Linked DNA regions of Arabidopsis thaliana. The main gene of each other region encodes a partner of the protein of the gene in region 2 in a complex. Each region holds a gene or a part of one and is shown on either strand. Other genes may lie near its edges.

Region 1 (8,910 bases), on a different chromosome or scaffold from region 2:
CAAGCTATTGATATCGATTCCAACATGGTTATTGTTCGTATCATTGAACTCGATATTCATAATCGTGTCAAGTTCGACAGCGAATACATGGTTCCTAACGTTACCGTTGTTTGTTACATTGAAGAGACCGAGGTATTGTAAGGGGCTGCCGAATGGGAGGCGAGGGTTAGGAGCGATGACAAAGGCCATGCCGTGTGCAATGGGTATCTGAGAGTGAATAGCGAAGACAAAGGTAGTGGAGAAAGACGATACGGTACCGTTTGGAGAATCTTTGAACCGGATTGGTTTGGTATAGAAGGCGTGACCGGTGCTCTGCATGGTTGTGTTGGTTAGCTTTAAGAGACCGTTTGGTGTGATGGTGGCAATTCCTAGGATGGATATGTCTGTCGGTGGAGGACGGAAGCCATTGTAAGTGAAGTCGATAATTTGGGAAGAGGACTTTAGGGATTGCCAAAAGAAGCTTAAGAAGAAGATGGTGAAGAGCTTGATGAAGAACATGGTGAAGAGTTTTATTTTATTTTTGTTGGCTTTGGTTTAGGTATTTGAGTTTGTAAAGAAAATTTATGGAGAGTGTGGAAAAGTCATTTTTTGTATTGGTCAAGGGAAAAGTCGTTTCGGCTTAACCTATATTAGAGGTCATGGTAGAGACTCACGAAGATGAATGACGGATCATAAAGGTTTTCAATTTGTAATGTTGTGGTACAACGTGTGTTTGTCTCCGGTGTAACTTATCTTGTCTCACATTAATAGAGGCTTTGATTAGAGATGTACAACGTGTATCATCTCATTATGTGTAAGTCACTATTGAGTGAAGCTGATGAGTTAGTAAACGATAGCCATAACTAAATCTAATTGCAAAAACAATGTGTCACTACTCTGTTTTCCATTGTGTTAAGGTTTGGGATTTAATCATTTGGTATCAAATCACGTTTTGGTTTTGATCCGAACCACAATAGTGGTATTAGTACCGCACCTAACTTTCATTCTTTTGTTTTTAGTCAAAACTATTTTGTGGTAGACAAACTTCCATCTATTATCTTGGTTTTAATTCGGACCACAATTGTACTATCAAGTCTCTATCCGGAAAAAATAATAATTGTTCACCCTCGTGACTACGGCATTCTATTTGCACAAGGACAGAGAGTCATGACTAAGTCTTTCTTTTAACTTCCATCAATTGCAAATAATTGTGTCATATTCTGATTCATATAATAAAGGAGCAAGAGTAACAATCATAGTTGTCTTTTTTAGTTACATTTGTCTACATATACTCTCCGCGACAGAGTCCCAAATGAAGGTCACCAACTTGGTTTCCGTAAACGGAATGGTCTTTTGTGCAGCTATACACGCATTGTGGTTTTCGTAAATCTTTCTCCAGATCGTCGAATCTTTGAGACATCCATATCACCAAAAAAAGGGCACAGATTTTTCTATAAAAAAAATGTTTGACAAAGCTCTTTACAGTTTCAGGTGTTAGGACAAATACATATTAACGTTTCTCCAATAAGACCTCTTCTCTTGGTATCTGTAAACAACTCGGTAAGAATGTCTGCGGATCATCATGAGGGTGGATGAGCATGGAGTCAACAGTTTTGTTATGTTCATCATCTCATGGAGACATTACTGAATAACTGAATAGTAATGTCTTTGTTATGTTCATCTCATGGAGTCAACAGTTTTGTAGTCATGTTGTCTTCTTCGCCGGCACCTGAATTGAGGTTTACTATCTGAGAATTTCGTCTCACCAGACATCCCCATTGTTGAATCTGTATCTGCTCCAAATCCAAAACACTCACCAATCACTAAACATATCAAAATACCAAGTACATACATATCCATTTCAGACAATGACCTAACATGATAAGAACCCAATTCCACAATGTACAATCATTATTTCATTCCCTAACCCAAATTTGACAACTTTCTGACAATTCCTATGAGGCAATGCCATAATAGACAAGCAGAGCAAAATCAGACTCATTTTCATCAGAAGAAATAACACTAAAGTTGTCATCTTTAATCTAATCAATGATGATCAATCTCCAAATCTTCATAGCAAAAACCACGAATCTCAAGATGGAACACAATTGCTATAAAAAGTCTCTGAATTTAATACCTCCCCAAAACAATGGCTTGACATCTTCTTCTTCATCATCAAATTCATCACCATAGCCAAACTCAGCATCACCTCTGTAACCAGGCTCACTCCCATACCCAGATTCATTCCCCATTGGATCAACTCCATTAGCAAATCCAAATCCACCAGAAGCTTCCTTCTCTCCACCAGAATCTCGCCGCTCTCTCCGTGAATTCCTCGCCGCCTCACTCACATCAGAAGCCCAATTCGCTTCACCAAAAAGCTCTCCACTTGAATCTGTACCAACAGCGAAAGGCAAATCCGAACAAGTCCCATGAGCACCAATGGAGCAACATCTCCGAGTCCCACTCCGATCACTACTCCGACCAGACACCGATCTCGAATTACGCCGCCGCCGCTTCCTCGCTACTAACCTGAAACTTCCTCTATTGCTGTAATTGGAAGCTGATAATGTCTTCCCTCCATTGTCGTCGTCGGCGAGTGAGAGACGGCTCATAGCTTCGATGGTGAAAGAAGTGGATCGATCGGAGAAGCAAGGGCGTTTGGGAGTAAAGGAGTGAAACCCATTGGTCTGCGGTGGTTGGTCAGATGAGTCTAGGGTTTTGGAGCGGTGAAATGGTCGCCATGAGAGAAGCTGTGAAGTGCATGATTCAATAGAGCTTCGTGATGACTCTAGATGTTTCGGAGACATTGTTAAAGGTAACAACTTTCCAGATCACAAAAAGCGAAAATGAAAAAAGAAAAATCCTTTTGAGTGAATCTGAAATTGGGAATGGATCTGTGTTGTTTTCAAGTTCTTTGAGAATATCGAGTAGTGAAGATTTGGAGTTGTTCTTTTGGGTTTAAGAGCTTTTGATTGAAGATTACGATTTGTTGCAAAACGGGTCAAATGTATTTTATACGGTCAAGACACAATGTATTTTAATACGTACCCGGTCGGTCACGTGACTCACGTGATGATCTCTATGGTATTCGAAAGCCCTAGTCAGATTTCAATTTTCGCCTTTCTTCTTCTCTTCCATCGGAATTTTCTCTCAGGTGATCGGAATCGTTACTGGAATTTTAGTTCATATATAGACGATCAATCAAACCTCTTTAGTTTTCCTTAGGTTAATCGTTATCCAATGAGTTTTTTTTGTGTGTGATCGCTTCTTTGTTTCGATCTATTGACGTTTCGAATCTCAATTTTGATTTTGGTATAGGAAAGAAATAAATGAGCAGCCGTTCGAGTAGAACGATTTACGTCGGGAACCTTCCCGGCGATATCCGTGAAAGAGAAGTTGAAGACTTGTTCAGTAAGGTAAATTACTCGTTTCTCCTAATTTAAGAACTCAGAACTCAGGATCGAATTTTGTGTTATGTGATGAATATGTCTTTACAAGATTTGCATGTGAAAGAAATTGAATGCATCTTCGGAATTGTTGGATTCTGATTTTATTTGGAAGAAGTTTCCTTAAGAATTGTTCTTCCTTATTTTTTTTGAAGTATGGACCTGTTGTTCAAATCGATTTGAAGATTCCGCCGAGGCCTCCAGGCTATGCATTCGTCGAGGTCAGATTTTTTATGCAACCACATGTTTTATAAAGGCTTGTTGTTGATTTTACAGTTAGGCTCTTCGTTGTTGTTGAGTGTTCATGAGTTTTCAAATGTTGGGAGATACTACCACTAATGTTTTGTGATATATGTGATTTAGTTTGAGGATGCTCGTGATGCTGATGATGCAATTTATGGCCGTGATGGTTATGACTTTGATGGGCATCATTTACGGGTTTGTTAATCATCAAATTTCAGAATTTTTACACAAACTTTGTATTGTTGACTGGTAGCCAAACATAATTTATGTGTGTTGGCCATTGCAGGTGGAACTAGCTCATGGTGGGAGGCGTTCATCACATGATGCACGCGGTAGTTATAGTGGTCGTGGTCGTGGCGGTCGTGGTGGTGGTGACGGTGGTGGTCGTGAACGTGGACCATCTAGGAGATCAGAGTACCGCGGTACATATGATATGTTTAGCTTTAGTGTATTCATAAGTTTTAGGAGAAATCACTAAATTAAGATTTTCCACTATACAGTTGTAGTGTCAGGTTTGCCTTCATCTGCGTCCTGGCAAGACCTCAAGGTGATTACACAGTTGTGGACAGATTCCTCATTGTCGTTCCTATATTTTCTACGATTTCTGAATGTTGACATATCACTTTGTTTTGAAGGATCACATGCGTAAAGGAGGAGAAGTTTGTTTTTCTCAAGTGTTTCGTGATGGTAGAGGTAAATCCTCATGTCTTACCCAAGAATAGAGATGTGTCTAAAGCTGTTTGGGTTTTCTGCCTTTAAATCCTGTTTTAACTAGTCTGTGCATGCTTTAAAAAATCTATATCGTGGACTATTTATTTACAGGTACAACTGGAATTGTAGATTATACCAGCTACGAGGACATGAAATATGCGGTGAGATGTTTTTCTTCCTCTTCATATTATTTGATTTTCTGTGTGGGACTGTGGCTGAGAATGTGTTCATCCTTGATTACTCATGATTATATTCTTTATTTTGTCCAGATAAAAAAAGCTCGATGACACAGAGTTTCGGAATGCGTTTTCTCATGAATATGTTCGGGTATGTTAAAGACAAGAATTCTGAGAGCTGCATTCGTTTTTATTGCACTTAACATTTCCCTATGTCATTACAGGTTAGAGAATATGATTCAAGGAGGGATTCGAGGAGCCCCAGCCGTGGAAGATCCTATTCTAAGAGCCGCAGCCGTGGACGGAGTCCCAGCCGTAGTCGTAGCCGCAGCAGAAGCAGGAGCAAGAGCAGAAGTCCAAAGGCTAAATCTTTGCGTAGATCGCCTGCAAAATCTACATCGAGATCTCCTCGCTCTCGCTCCCGCTCTAAGTCGAGGTCACTGTCTCCACGAGGGTATGCTTCATTTCTTCTATAATGTTTATGCTAAAATATCCAACATAAAACATAACATAGGCTCTATTTAGCTCTTCCCTTGAAGTTTGGTGACATCACATTAAAAGATGTCACTGGGATGACTCCGAGTTGTTGATTGAGAATGATGATTGCTTCTAGTTAAGGGTACACGATTTATTTCCTTTGAAAGTCTGGTCTTTTATAATTATAGTGTTGAGAATGGTTTTGTTTCTTAGATATGGATATACATACAATCAACTAAAATATGGGAAATAGTATCTGGATCATGGATGTCTTGGTTGGTTGTACACAACTGTTTCGTCTCAGAGGTATATGCTCTTTCTTAGATGGGCAAGTTCGTTTTCTGATAATATCCATTGCTGCTAGATGGGTAACAGTGGAGAGACATTGGATCGCATTGATATAGTGTCATCAAAATGGACCCATCGAGCTAGGACAGATATTTTCATTACCTGCTAATCGACAAGCGATCTGGATTCTCATGGAACCGATGCTGTTCTGGACACAGGGTTTGATAGAATTAGATTTGCTTTGATATTCTCCATCTCTACCATCTGTTTTAACGAAAAGCAGGCTTGTGTTGGTTTGATTTTCTGCTAGAAATAGTCTGAAGATATGTTTTTTTCTTTTTTGCTTCTTGTGATTGTGTTTTGATGTCTGACATGGAATGAGGCATCAAGGGTCTTGGTGAAACAGCTATTAAACACGGAAATATTGGATTTTTAAAACTGGATTTGTTTCTCGGACTTTTGCAGATCTCGTTCAAGGTCAAGATCTCCTCTACCCTCTCTAAGTCATCTATCTCTAATACACTTTTTACTCCGCTATACTATCAGCACAATATTTTCGGTTTTCAATCCATACTATCCAAAAGACATGATCTATGTCTAGCTAATTACATTCTCATCATCTGGATTGAATTGTGTGTGTTGCAGGTTCAGAAGGAAGCAAGTAAGAGCCCTAGCAAGCAGCTGAGCCCTATCCGTGGTAGGAGCAAGAGCAGAAGCAGGAGTCCATCTCGGTAATGCACACTCTTTTTAACTTGCTTGGAACATTCTCACTCTTTCTCTGAATCTCTTTCCAACTGTTTTACAGGTAAAGAAACATCTCATATCAGGTAAAAAGCTGGGTCTGTTGGAAGATTCTCATAAAGATGATCTCTCTTATGTATGAGAAGTTGAAAAACTAGTTGTGTATTTCATTCTTATTAGCTTGGGTTTGCACATGGGAATGATATATACTCAGTCATCATCAGTTTATGAGCTAAGCTCAGCTGATTTATATGACTTGCTAATATAGTTAGTGCTTAAAACGAACTATCAAAAATTACTGTCGAATACCAAACTTAATTCAAAAGCTCACAATTCGATATTAAAATTTTGAAAACGTTCACAATAAATGAACCTAAAAAGACATGTGCATTGAACTCATTTTGATACCCGGACCCTTTACATTTTAGTTCAGTCCGTACGATGTCATTTTCGAGAGCTGTTGCGCATTACTTACTTGCCTTTGTGTGGGTGTTAGTGAATCTGTGACCCACCTTAAGAACAGTTAAGACTATTCCCGGTTTACGCGTACCGGACCCATAACAGTATAAGTGAATTTGGATAAGAAAGGAGCCGCCTAGAGAGAAGAAGGCGATCCATGGCGGAATCTGTCTTCTCTTGTATACCAGAAGACGTAGTCTTCAACATCTTCTTCAAGCTCCAAGATGATCCAAGAAACTGGGCTCGTCTCGCTTGCGTCTGCACCAAATTCTCCTCAATTGTTCGAAACGTTTGTTGTAAAACTCAGTGCTACTCCGCTATCCCCACCGTCATCTCCGATCTCCTCCCTCTTCCTCCCTCCGCCGCCGCATCCGCTTCTTCATCCACCGCGGCGGATTCGTCTCTTACTCCTCCCGGTGGTTGGGCTTCTTTATACAAACTCGCTGTTTGTTGTCCTGGTCTCTTCCACGCTGGAATTCTCCTCGAAAACTCCGATTTCGGTTTAGAACGTGAGCTAGGTCCCGATCAAAACCTCGATCCGAAACCTACTACGACGGATCTAGCTCTTAACGACGAAGAAGTTTCGAAACCAGTTGGATCTGGTTTAGAAACGACTTCGTTTTGGTCTCTATATGATGATCTCTACACAGATACTATTCCCGCTCCTCCTCCCGAAGATTCAATCGACGATCAAGAAGAAGAAATCGAAACGAGTGAGATCAGACCTGGACGAGATCTTCCGGTAAGGAAACGAAGGAAGATTTGTCGATCTCTAGGATCTCATTTAGCTTCCGGTGGCTGGAACCTTAGCCGTGAACAAGGCAACAAGCTTCTCGCGAGTAGATTCCGAGGTGATTGTCTCTACATTTGCAATTGGCCTGGGTGTATTCACGTAGAAGAGAAACGAAATTACATGTTGTTTAGAGGAGTCTTCAAGGATTTCAAAAGGTCTAGAGTTTGGAGAACGATAAACGACGGTAATCGGAGTAAGACCTCGGGTTTGAAATGCGCGTTTTGTTTGTGCGATGAGACTTGGGATTTGCATTCATCGTTTTGTTTGAGAAGAGTGTTTGGGTTTCATGATGATGGTGAACCAGTTGTGAGAGCTTATGTTTGTGAGAATGGTCATGTCTCTGGTGCTTGGACTGCTTTACCTCTCTACACTTGATAGCTCACTAGAGAGGACAGGTCTTTCATTCTTCTTCCACGGTCTCAAGTCTCAATCTTGTTTGATGTATTTGTAGGAATAGTGTCATTGTGTTTCAAATTCTGGTTAATGTTTAAGTAATGGTTGAAGAAAATTGGCTCAACATATTGTGGTTGTTTTGTTTCAATGTTGACAACATATTAGACTTCGATTCAAATGCATAAACTCTTACGTCAAAGCCAAAAATTTCAAGTCCAAGAACATTTGGAAACAATATAACCCAAAACAAAAGGTAGAAGAAACTTAAACCAAGATCAAATCCATAGAAAGAAAACAGAGTACCAACAACATTCATATAAAAGAGGAAGTAATTCAGAGGGTTTCATAAACCTGAAAAGCTAATAATACCATATGGTTTTTCATCATCTCTAGAACAGAGTCTTCACTTGTCTTCCTTAACAGATGTTGTTTCTTCTGCCGCTGGTGCCTTCTCTGTCGCAAGACCTTCCTCCTTAACGGCATCATCCTTCTTGTCTCCTGATTTTGCTGTCTCTTCTGCAATTTACAGAAAATGTTTCATTACTTCAAAATTCTGCATTTTGTTGAGGAACAAAGAAACACAAAAATCTGCAAAATGTTTCCTAAGACAGAGTACTTGGCATATCATATGGAATATGAGATACTTCAATAACAAAGTCAATCAACTCTGGCGAAATGCTTTCATTTCAAGGAGGCTGTGACCAAACATAAACGAGAAAGATCTTCAAAAGTATTACCTTCATCATCACTGTCTTCAAACTCTTCCATGCCTCCCATACCACCCATGCCTCCCATTCCACCCATGCCTCCCATTCCACCGAGCCCTTCGAGTCCGCCCATTCCACCCATTCCACCCATTCCACCCATTAATTTCTGCACGAAGCAAGGATCAAGTATGAGGTCATTTCTCAGAGCTAGGTATATCTGAAGCACAAAATGAAGGACAATCAAAAGTTAGAAACAAACCGAGAAATCCATTCCTTCCATTCCTCCCATTCCACCCATTCCTCCCATTCCACCCATTCCTCCCATGCCGCCCATGCCTCCCATTCCTCCCATTCCTTCCATTCCTGCCATATCCATATCTGCGGCACCTAAACATAACATAGAAAACAAATAAGTTAACACATCCTGAACTTTATATAAAGTGCAGAGAGTGTACACAAGAACAGATAATATAAGCGTTAAGATGAATGCTAAC
Region 2 (8,094 bases):
TGTCATAGCATATACTATAATATTGATCAAAATGGGCTTACCATCGATCAAACTCATTGTCACATATTCGATATTTGGAAGCAGGATTATCTCGGAAGCAAATTTGTCCGTTCAAACTCATTTGATGGCTAATCTATAGTATTAACTTTTCTATAGATTTGTCTTATACGACGATGCCACACGCATGTTTATATATATATACATACTTAACAAGATAGTAAAATATTATTATGACGATTTTGAATCTCTAGGATATTATAACGGTAGTAATAATCCAATGATTTACAACATTTTGATTTGAATGCTATCTAGTCATCTAGAATTTAAATTTTTCATATGGTGCTATACTAATAACTCGTAAAATAGTAAATTAGAAGCCTAAACTTGCAATTAGGGAAATTAAGACGGGCTAAAAGCGTGTGGACCCTATCTTTTTTGTTTACATAATTTTTGCTTTGAAATTGGGTCCTACCCGCTGTCAAAACAATTCCTGGGTCCCGCCTTGTTGTTTTCCAAAATGAAATCAGTAAACCGGAAATTGAACACATTAAACCGGAAGCCTTCAATTAGTTGAAATCGAGTTTTAAACTCCTCTCGACATGATCTTGATGTCGGAAATGACTAGCAAAATTGCCAACACGATATCTGAGTACTTAATTTACTAAATCTAAAACTGCAATGTCAGGTGTTGTTTCTCAGTGAGTGAATAAAATAGAAGGATTAAGGATCTAATTAGAAAAATTATCTTGATCTTCTTTGTTATGATGTTACATTTTTCGAACATGTAGAGAAACAAGTTTCAAAATGTCGTTGAAGCATAGCTATAGGCAGGAATCTTAGCAACCTTCTTCGTCTTCATCAACTTCCTAACTCTCTCAACATCTTTCCACATCCCTCTGAGTGCATACACATTAGCCAAGACAACATAAACACCATCGTTCCACGGCTCAAGCTCAACCATGTATGGAGCCACCCACTCAGCCATCTCAACATCCCCAAACTTCTCACACCCTCCCATCAAACAACCCCAAACCATCACGTTAGGCTTCATCGGCATCTCCTCAACAACTTTCTTTGCCTCCTTAAGCTGCCCGTCACGGCTCAATAGATCAACTATGCATCCGTAATGCGATAATCCCGGTTCTAGCTCGAACTCTGACTTCATCATCGCAAAATATGTTTTTCCTTCCTCCACAAGACCTCCATGGACGCAAGCACTGAGAACTCCAACGAACGTGATCTTGTTTGGTCTGACACCGAATTCTCTCATCTGACGAAAGCATTCTAAAGCCTCTAATGTATTCCCGTTAGCTGCGTAACCCACGATCATAGAACTCCAAGAGACAACGTTTCTCTGTCGCATTTCCTCGAATATGTGACTCGCTAAATCCATACGCCCACATTTTCCATACATATCAATGAGCGAATTCAGCATCATGATATCAGACTTCTCTTCGGTCTTAGCTTGTAGAACGCATTTATGCAACTGAAAAGCCAAGCTCAAGTCACCTAATCCTCCACAAGAAGCAGTCACACTAACCATAGTGAAATCATCAGGCTCAAGTCCACTCCTTTTCATATCCACAAACATTTCCACCGCCTCGTTAGCTCGACCAGCGTGATTCAACCCTCCGATAATGGCGTTCCAAGACCCCAGCTTTCTCTCAGGATTTTCATCGAACACCTTACGTGCGTTCTCAAATTCCCCTGCTTTACAATACAATGTAATGAACCCACTCTCGCAGAACTCATCTCCGACGAACCCTAACCTAACGGCGACGGAATGAAGCTCCTTTCCCAACGTAAAATCATGAATTTGAACGGCTGCTTTGATTACAATCGGAAGAGAATATCGATCGGGTAAAACAGTCGATCTCACCATACCGAGATATACTTGAATTGCATCGAGAGGAGACTCATGGCGAATGTAAGATCGCATGATGTTGTTCCATAAGAAAGCGATCGGATATTGATCGAGGATTCGTGAACGGAAGATGTCACCATGGATCCGACGAACACGAGCTAGGCTAGTGCAGTTTGATAACAGAGTAGCTAAGAGTTTGTTTCGATCTTGAGGCGAAAGAGGCGTAACCGAGGAAGATGATGTAGTGACGAAATGATTCAAACGGTGAAAGATCGTGAAGTGATTTGTTCTCTTAGTACCATGAACATGAAGCTTGGAGATAAGACCAGAGAAGAACATGTGTCTTTTTTGTTGTTGTCCTGATTCAAAACTAAGATTCTTAAGTACACAAAGTTGTAACAGTGAAAAAGAAACTAAAATAAGCTCAAAAGATCTGATATTATGAAGCTGAAAGATTGTATTCGAGTAGTTTAAGAGACTCACAACAACATAAATACTGATAATCCAAAGCAAACTGTTTTAACAGATCCAAAATAACAAGTTATATATTGAAATCAAAGATCAGTTACTGAGCTTTTTCTTTGTCTTGACTTTTAACGCCGGTCACTGCGTTCGAAATTGATCTTGGTTCGACCAGAACCGCCGTGGTCATCGTCCCTTGAAGAGCTACCACCACCGCCACTTGCTCTCATAGTTCCACCAGACCCGATCTTGTCCAAAGGTTTCTTACCCTTCTTTAAATCAGAAACCCACTTCTCAAGACCGAAAGGATCTTGTTCCTCTTCCTTCTCAAACTCAACAGGTCGGTCTCTCTTACTACCCACCCTCTCTGAAGCCCCTGTGAAAGCTTTGTCAGGCTTAAACCTCTCAGTATTCTTGATCTTATCGAGCTGCTCATCAGCGTTTCCATACATTTCTTCATCGTTATCCTTCTTTGGCTTGTACAAAGTCGAAAGAGTTGGTTGTGCAGTGAACAAGCCTTTGTCGTATAAGTTGTATTGGTCATCAGCAGCGAAACCAGAGTCCATTCCTTTGTCTTGGTTAAACAGACGTTGATCATACATAACTTCACCACCACCTTTTCCTCCAGTAGATGCCATTCCAAGAGCAACTTTCTCACTGATGTCACGGTCTCTGTCTCTGGTGATCTTGCTCTTCTTCCCCATGGCAGCATCTTTGGCATCCAACCTTCTCTCCCTCTCTCTTTCCCTGCGACGCTCTTCTCGTATCTTTTCTCTCTGAATCCTTTTTTCCCTCTCCTCCCTCGTCTCTTGAGGCTCTTCCCTTTCTCTTTCCCTTCCTCTATCCTGGTCATAGTTGTCATAATCACCTCTTGGGTCAACACTTTCACTCCTACCCCTGTCAGATGAGACAGGCATACTCATAGCAGCACCGGTTCTTTCGGAGCGAGCTTTTTGGGCAAGAGCCCTCAATTCCTGCTCTTTCCTTTCCTTGTCCTTCATCACCATCTCTTTTTGCACCTTGGAACGCATTGAAACAGCCTCTCTAGCTTTCTGCTCAGCTACATAGAGGGCCTCTGATAACTTGGCAAAGTTATCATTGATCTGAACGTCTTGTAGGCCCCTTCCATCAGCAGCTAGACGTTTGTCAAGAGGGATTGTGTAACCTTTCGGATTCTTCCAATTGGAGATACAAGGAGGGATTTTCCAGTCTTGCTGGTCCTTGACGGTAACAGGCCTGGGCGGTGAATGCATGACCGGAACAGGCGGAGAACCAGAAGCCCTTGGGACTCTCTTGTGCTTGAACTTTGGTGGATCAAGTGGATCTACAGGCATCTCCACCATCCTAATGATCCTCTCTTTAGCACCAGAATTGAAGGCAGAAGATTGCTGGGATGGCTTATATTTAATGTACTGTGAATCTCCCGATTGCCTTGCTATATTACTAGGCTGCGCTGCACTCAGTCTCACATTCACAATCTTCTCAATGGCAGCTTTCGTTTCTTCAGCAGTCTCCTGAATCTCCTTCTGCAATTCCTCCTCTTCATCAACAACAGTACCCAAGTCTCCCTCGTTTTTCAGAAACTTTGGAATAATATCCTTATGCTGAGAATAAACAATCTTCCTCGAGTTCTCATTCTGCCTCACTATAGCGTCAAAGACCACGTTTCCCTGAGCATCGACAGTAACAGGGAGAGTCTTAGCTCCAGGCTTATTGGATTTATTCTTACCCATAAGAAGAGGATACTGAGGAAGATGAATCTCCGGGAAAGCACCACCATCGCCAAAATCCTCTGGATTCTTCGGACGTAAACCTTGACGATTCAGGTAAGCAGGCACCACTTTAAATTTGATACTGGAGGATTTCACCGTCTCGGATTCAGTGACTCGGTTTTTGAACCAAGCATCATTAGAATGATCATAATACGTGGTAGTGGTTGATTTGGGCGCAGGAAGATCATTAAGAGACTTCATAGTCTAAATCAAGGTTTTCAACAAATCGCAACCTGCAAACAAAGAACAATAACGATCAGGACATACCTAATCCGTAATTACAACAACAAGCTTCTGATAATAAAAGTGACAGATCCTCCGAAATTAGGGTTTTCTAGCGATAAACTCGACGCGAGCATTAGATCCCGAATAATTCCGATTAAAATCTGAAAAATCTGGGTTGGATTCACTACAATAGAGCGGAAAACAAGTAGGGTTTAGGAATCGCTGAACATAGAGATCGACAAAAACCTAAAAACAACAGGAGGAAAGCAAAAAGCAGAATTGAATCTGAGAAATCGAAGAAGCTAACCTCTGAGGAAACTAATCGACGGGAAGAGAGATTCTGAGAAAGGTGAAACGATGTGCGAGGCGGCGCAGACCGATGAAGAACAACGAACGGAAGTGAAGCCTTTTTCTGGGGAAAAAAGAAATCGGGCGTGAAGCCTTTTCTAGGGTTGATAGGATTAACAACAAAAAAAAGGAATCAATTGTCTTATACGCAGTGTCTATGTAAGTCGGTTTAAAAATAGACGAAAAAACGAAAAGGATAACGTCGCCTGAGAGATTCGAACTCTCGCGGGCAGAGCCCATGTACTTAGCAGGCACACGCCTTAACCACTCGGCCAAAGCGACTTATTGTTTTTAAATCGAAGAAAGTTATATATATAACTATAGGTGTTGGCTTTTTGATATATACAACAATTCTGAGCATCTCATAATTATTTGCATTGTCCTTAATGAAAATCCGTCTCAAACACATTCCCATAGTTTCGTTTAAAATACTGAATTCAAGGTTAAAAGAAAAAAAAGTATAAGAATTTGGTGTTGGTACATCTCAACTGGTATACTGTTAAACCACCTCGAAAGGGAAGGTGAAAAAGTTCAGAATTCAAGTACCAATAGAGGAAATACTAGTTAGGCTTTGGTTTGTCTATCAAAACTCAAAGCAAGTGTAAGTTTCATATCAACAAACTTTCTTCTCTTTCATTTTTTTATAAAAAAACAATAGATTGATGGCGTTAGTTTGATATTTAATGAACCAATTTATGTTTTTCTAATCAACAACCAATTTGTTTGATATAAGGTAAAGAAACAAAAATGATATGAATGAACTACGTAGGCTATGTAAATAACGACTACGAGAGAGACTTAAATGTATGGTGAGAAATATTATTAAACATATATGTGGCCATGCGGGATAATGGGAAGGTTAATGGTTTTGCTTCTATGGAAACAACGGCATGGTAGTTAGTTTCCAGTTTTGGTGGACAACTTGGCGTGGTTGTGTTCAACGACAAACTATGGTCCTTGACTCCTTGCATTACACAACTCAAAACTCGGAATATACTTGAGTATATCATATGCATACAATTTTCAACTTTTTCTGTTAAATCGATTCATGGATTAGATGAACTATTTTGAGGGCTTTTCAGCATTCGATTAGGTTAAACGGCTGTTGCGATTATTATTTGTTTTCATAGGAGCTTATGCTATGAACAGTAATCATATAATCATTTGTATAAAAGTGTCTATTTCTGATCTAAGCACAGTAATTCATATTTGTTTAACCCCAAAAGCAAAAAATCATACATCCGTATATATATTTGAGAAAGGAAAAAACAAATAAAGACCGTGCTCGTGGGTGGAACCTCCGTTGACCGCGGATCCCAATATAATGGCCTTTTCCTACGGGATAGTTAGATGCATTACTAATTAACGTAACAATTAATTTTGATTCAAATCAATGTACGATGATTATAATAAATGTGTTAATTTAATCAACTTATGAGGCCGGTGTTGATTGATGTTTTCGTTGAGAAGACTCACCCAATACTTAGTTGATTTAACATTTTTTTTTTTTTTTTGTTACAAAGGTATTAATTTCCCCATCTAAGGATTGCGTATGAAAAAATATTTGTTCAAACATAATATAAGTTCGTTTTACAAAGATTAAAAATGAATAAAAAAAAGGTTTTAAATTTCACATCGTTGGATTTGCATATGAGTTAGTGCATGGACATGTTAAATTAAGGGTCAAGCCATTAATTATGTCTGACTAATGCAAACAAAGTCAAACAAGAGGAAATGATAAATAATCCTTAACCTGCAAATTCGTTTTGGTAGAACGATAATCTTTTACTTCTCTGGTACAAATTGTTTTTAATTAGGGAAAGAAAATGAGTTTCTATTTTTCTTCTCAAAAGTGTATTTCCTAAATATTGCATTGTACTTGTATTTCTCATTCACTGTAAACAATAATTTAAATTGAAAAAGTTGGTTATATGAAGCTAACAGTAGAAATTTTGTGAATTAAATACAGAGGGTGATAATAAATACCAAGTTGAAAAGATTCAATATATGTCAACTAACAAACCATCTCAGATAATACTTTTATCTACCGCTACTTTGATATAAATAGTTTAATTCTCAAATGTTCACCTAAAGTATAAAAAATGGTCACCTAAACTATATAAGTTAATTAGCAAAATATAAACAAAAAACCATTTATCGTCCAATCACAATTGGCGTGTTCGTACAAAATATCTAGAAGATCCGATCAAAAAAAAGAGAGCAATAAACATTATATGGTACTATCAGGTTTAATCAAGTATATTAAACTCTGGTCTGAATCCAATAATTAAATAAACTTCAGAGGTTTGGAGGCTAAATGTTTTTAAAAGAAGAGATTATTTAAAAATAAAACTAAGGAAAAAGGGGGCCAAAATTGGAAGAGTCGAAAGGTTCAGCCATCGAAATGCCATTTTCGTCGCTGTGGTAATAAAAGCTATAACAATTATTAATATACCAAGGCGAACTAGGTGGATACGCCGAGTCAACGTACACAAACTCGCTCAATGACTCATCGTAACTCGTCTCTAGACTCGGTAACTCCACTATCTCGCTTAGTTCTTCCGCCGTCGACGCAGCTTCTTCGCTTGACGGTGACAACGACGATGACGTACACGTTGAATAGCTCGAGGAAGACAACTGCGTCTCAGCTGGGGCGATGACGGTGGTTGGATCGGAGACTACGAGAGAGGAGGAGGAGGGGGAGAAGTCCATGGCGGCCGCTACGGCGGCTGCGGCTTGAACGTCGCGTGGAGAGGAGGAAGCTGGACGGGGAAGGTAAGTGGCGAGCTCCGGGAAGTTGAGGACGGCGGAAGTTCCTTTAATGGTGAGAGCAGCTGCGTCATGTGCACGCGCCGCCATTTCCGGTGTGGAGAAAGTGCCTAGCCAGATTCGGCTCTTCTTGCGAGGCTCTCGGATCTCGGAGACCCATTTGCCCCACGTTCGCATCCGGACGCCTCGGTAACCCGGGTCGGATCTTACACGTTTCTTGGTGTTGGTTCGGTGGGAGTCTTGTTGGTGATGATGATGATCCTCCTCCTCCGGCACCGGAGACGATTGTTTGACGGAGATAATGGATGACTCGGTCATTGACACGTGAGTTTGACTCAGTGAGTGTGAAGAGAGTACGTACGTAGGGTTTATATAAAGACTAGAGAGAGAGAGAAAGAGAGTTGAAGTATTGAAGTGAAATGTTGAAGTTAGTTAGAAAAGGACAGTCGATCGCTTACTTATGATGACAGGTGTGTACACATTATAAATTCACACATCAATATTATTTGAGAATGACCCATTTTTTGTTTTCGTTTATTTAATGTTGATATTTTGCATTCGGCAAGTAAATGTTTATTTATCTCTTCGTGATAACCTATGCATGGTCCATGTATGAACTTGATCAATTCAATGGGGTAATAACATTCCCATTCG

The links.
Region 1: SKIP (region 2) and SR34b share a complex: the UniProt entries of both Arabidopsis thaliana proteins name them as parts of the spliceosome.

What each region holds. Positions count from the first base shown.
Region 1 is NC_003075.7:1,065,875-1,074,784, forward strand, and holds SR34b (RNA-binding (RRM/RBD/RNP motifs) family protein), read left to right. Parts: upstream 1-3,099; 5' UTR 3,100-3,136; exon of another isoform or gene 3,137-3,207; intron 3,208-3,300; 5' UTR 3,301-3,311; coding exon 3,312-3,398; exon of another isoform or gene 3,399-3,502; coding exon of another isoform or gene 3,503-3,583; coding exon 3,584-3,649; intron 3,650-3,791; coding exon 3,792-3,866; intron 3,867-3,957; coding exon 3,958-4,093; intron 4,094-4,171; coding exon 4,172-4,218; intron 4,219-4,306; coding exon 4,307-4,364; intron 4,365-4,493; coding exon 4,494-4,543; intron 4,544-4,651; coding exon of another isoform or gene 4,652-4,661; coding exon 4,662-4,709; intron 4,710-4,782; coding exon 4,783-5,012; coding exon of another isoform or gene 5,013-5,034; exon of another isoform or gene 5,035-5,399; coding exon of another isoform or gene 5,400-5,410; coding exon 5,411-5,492; 3' UTR 5,493-5,800; intron 5,801-5,968; 3' UTR 5,969-6,054; intron 6,055-6,128; 3' UTR 6,129-6,349; downstream 6,350-8,910. Other genes in the region: AT4G02420 (Concanavalin A-like lectin protein kinase family protein), read right to left, coding at 1-498; AT4G02425 (LYR motif protein), read right to left, coding at 1,657-1,772, 2,117-2,789; EID1 (F-box family protein), read left to right, coding at 6,681-7,691; AT4G02450 (HSP20-like chaperones superfamily protein), read right to left, coding at 8,113-8,225, 8,447-8,582, 8,676-8,803. UniProt on the Arabidopsis thaliana protein: Probably involved in intron recognition and spliceosome assembly.
Region 2 is NC_003070.9:28,997,334-29,005,427, forward strand, and holds SKIP (chromatin protein family), read right to left. Parts: upstream 4,803-8,094; 5' UTR 4,631-4,802; intron 4,508-4,630; exon of another isoform or gene 4,332-4,507; 5' UTR 4,300-4,331; coding exon 2,458-4,299; 3' UTR 2,244-2,457; downstream 1-2,243. Other genes in the region: AT1G77170 (Tetratricopeptide repeat (TPR)-like superfamily protein), read right to left, coding at 800-2,203; AT1G77200 (Integrase-type DNA-binding superfamily protein), read right to left, coding at 7,024-7,758. UniProt on the Arabidopsis thaliana protein: Splicing factor involved in post-transcriptional regulation of circadian clock and flowering time genes. Associates with the pre-mRNA of PRR7, PRR9, ELF3 and GI, and is necessary for the regulation of their alternative splicing and mRNA maturation.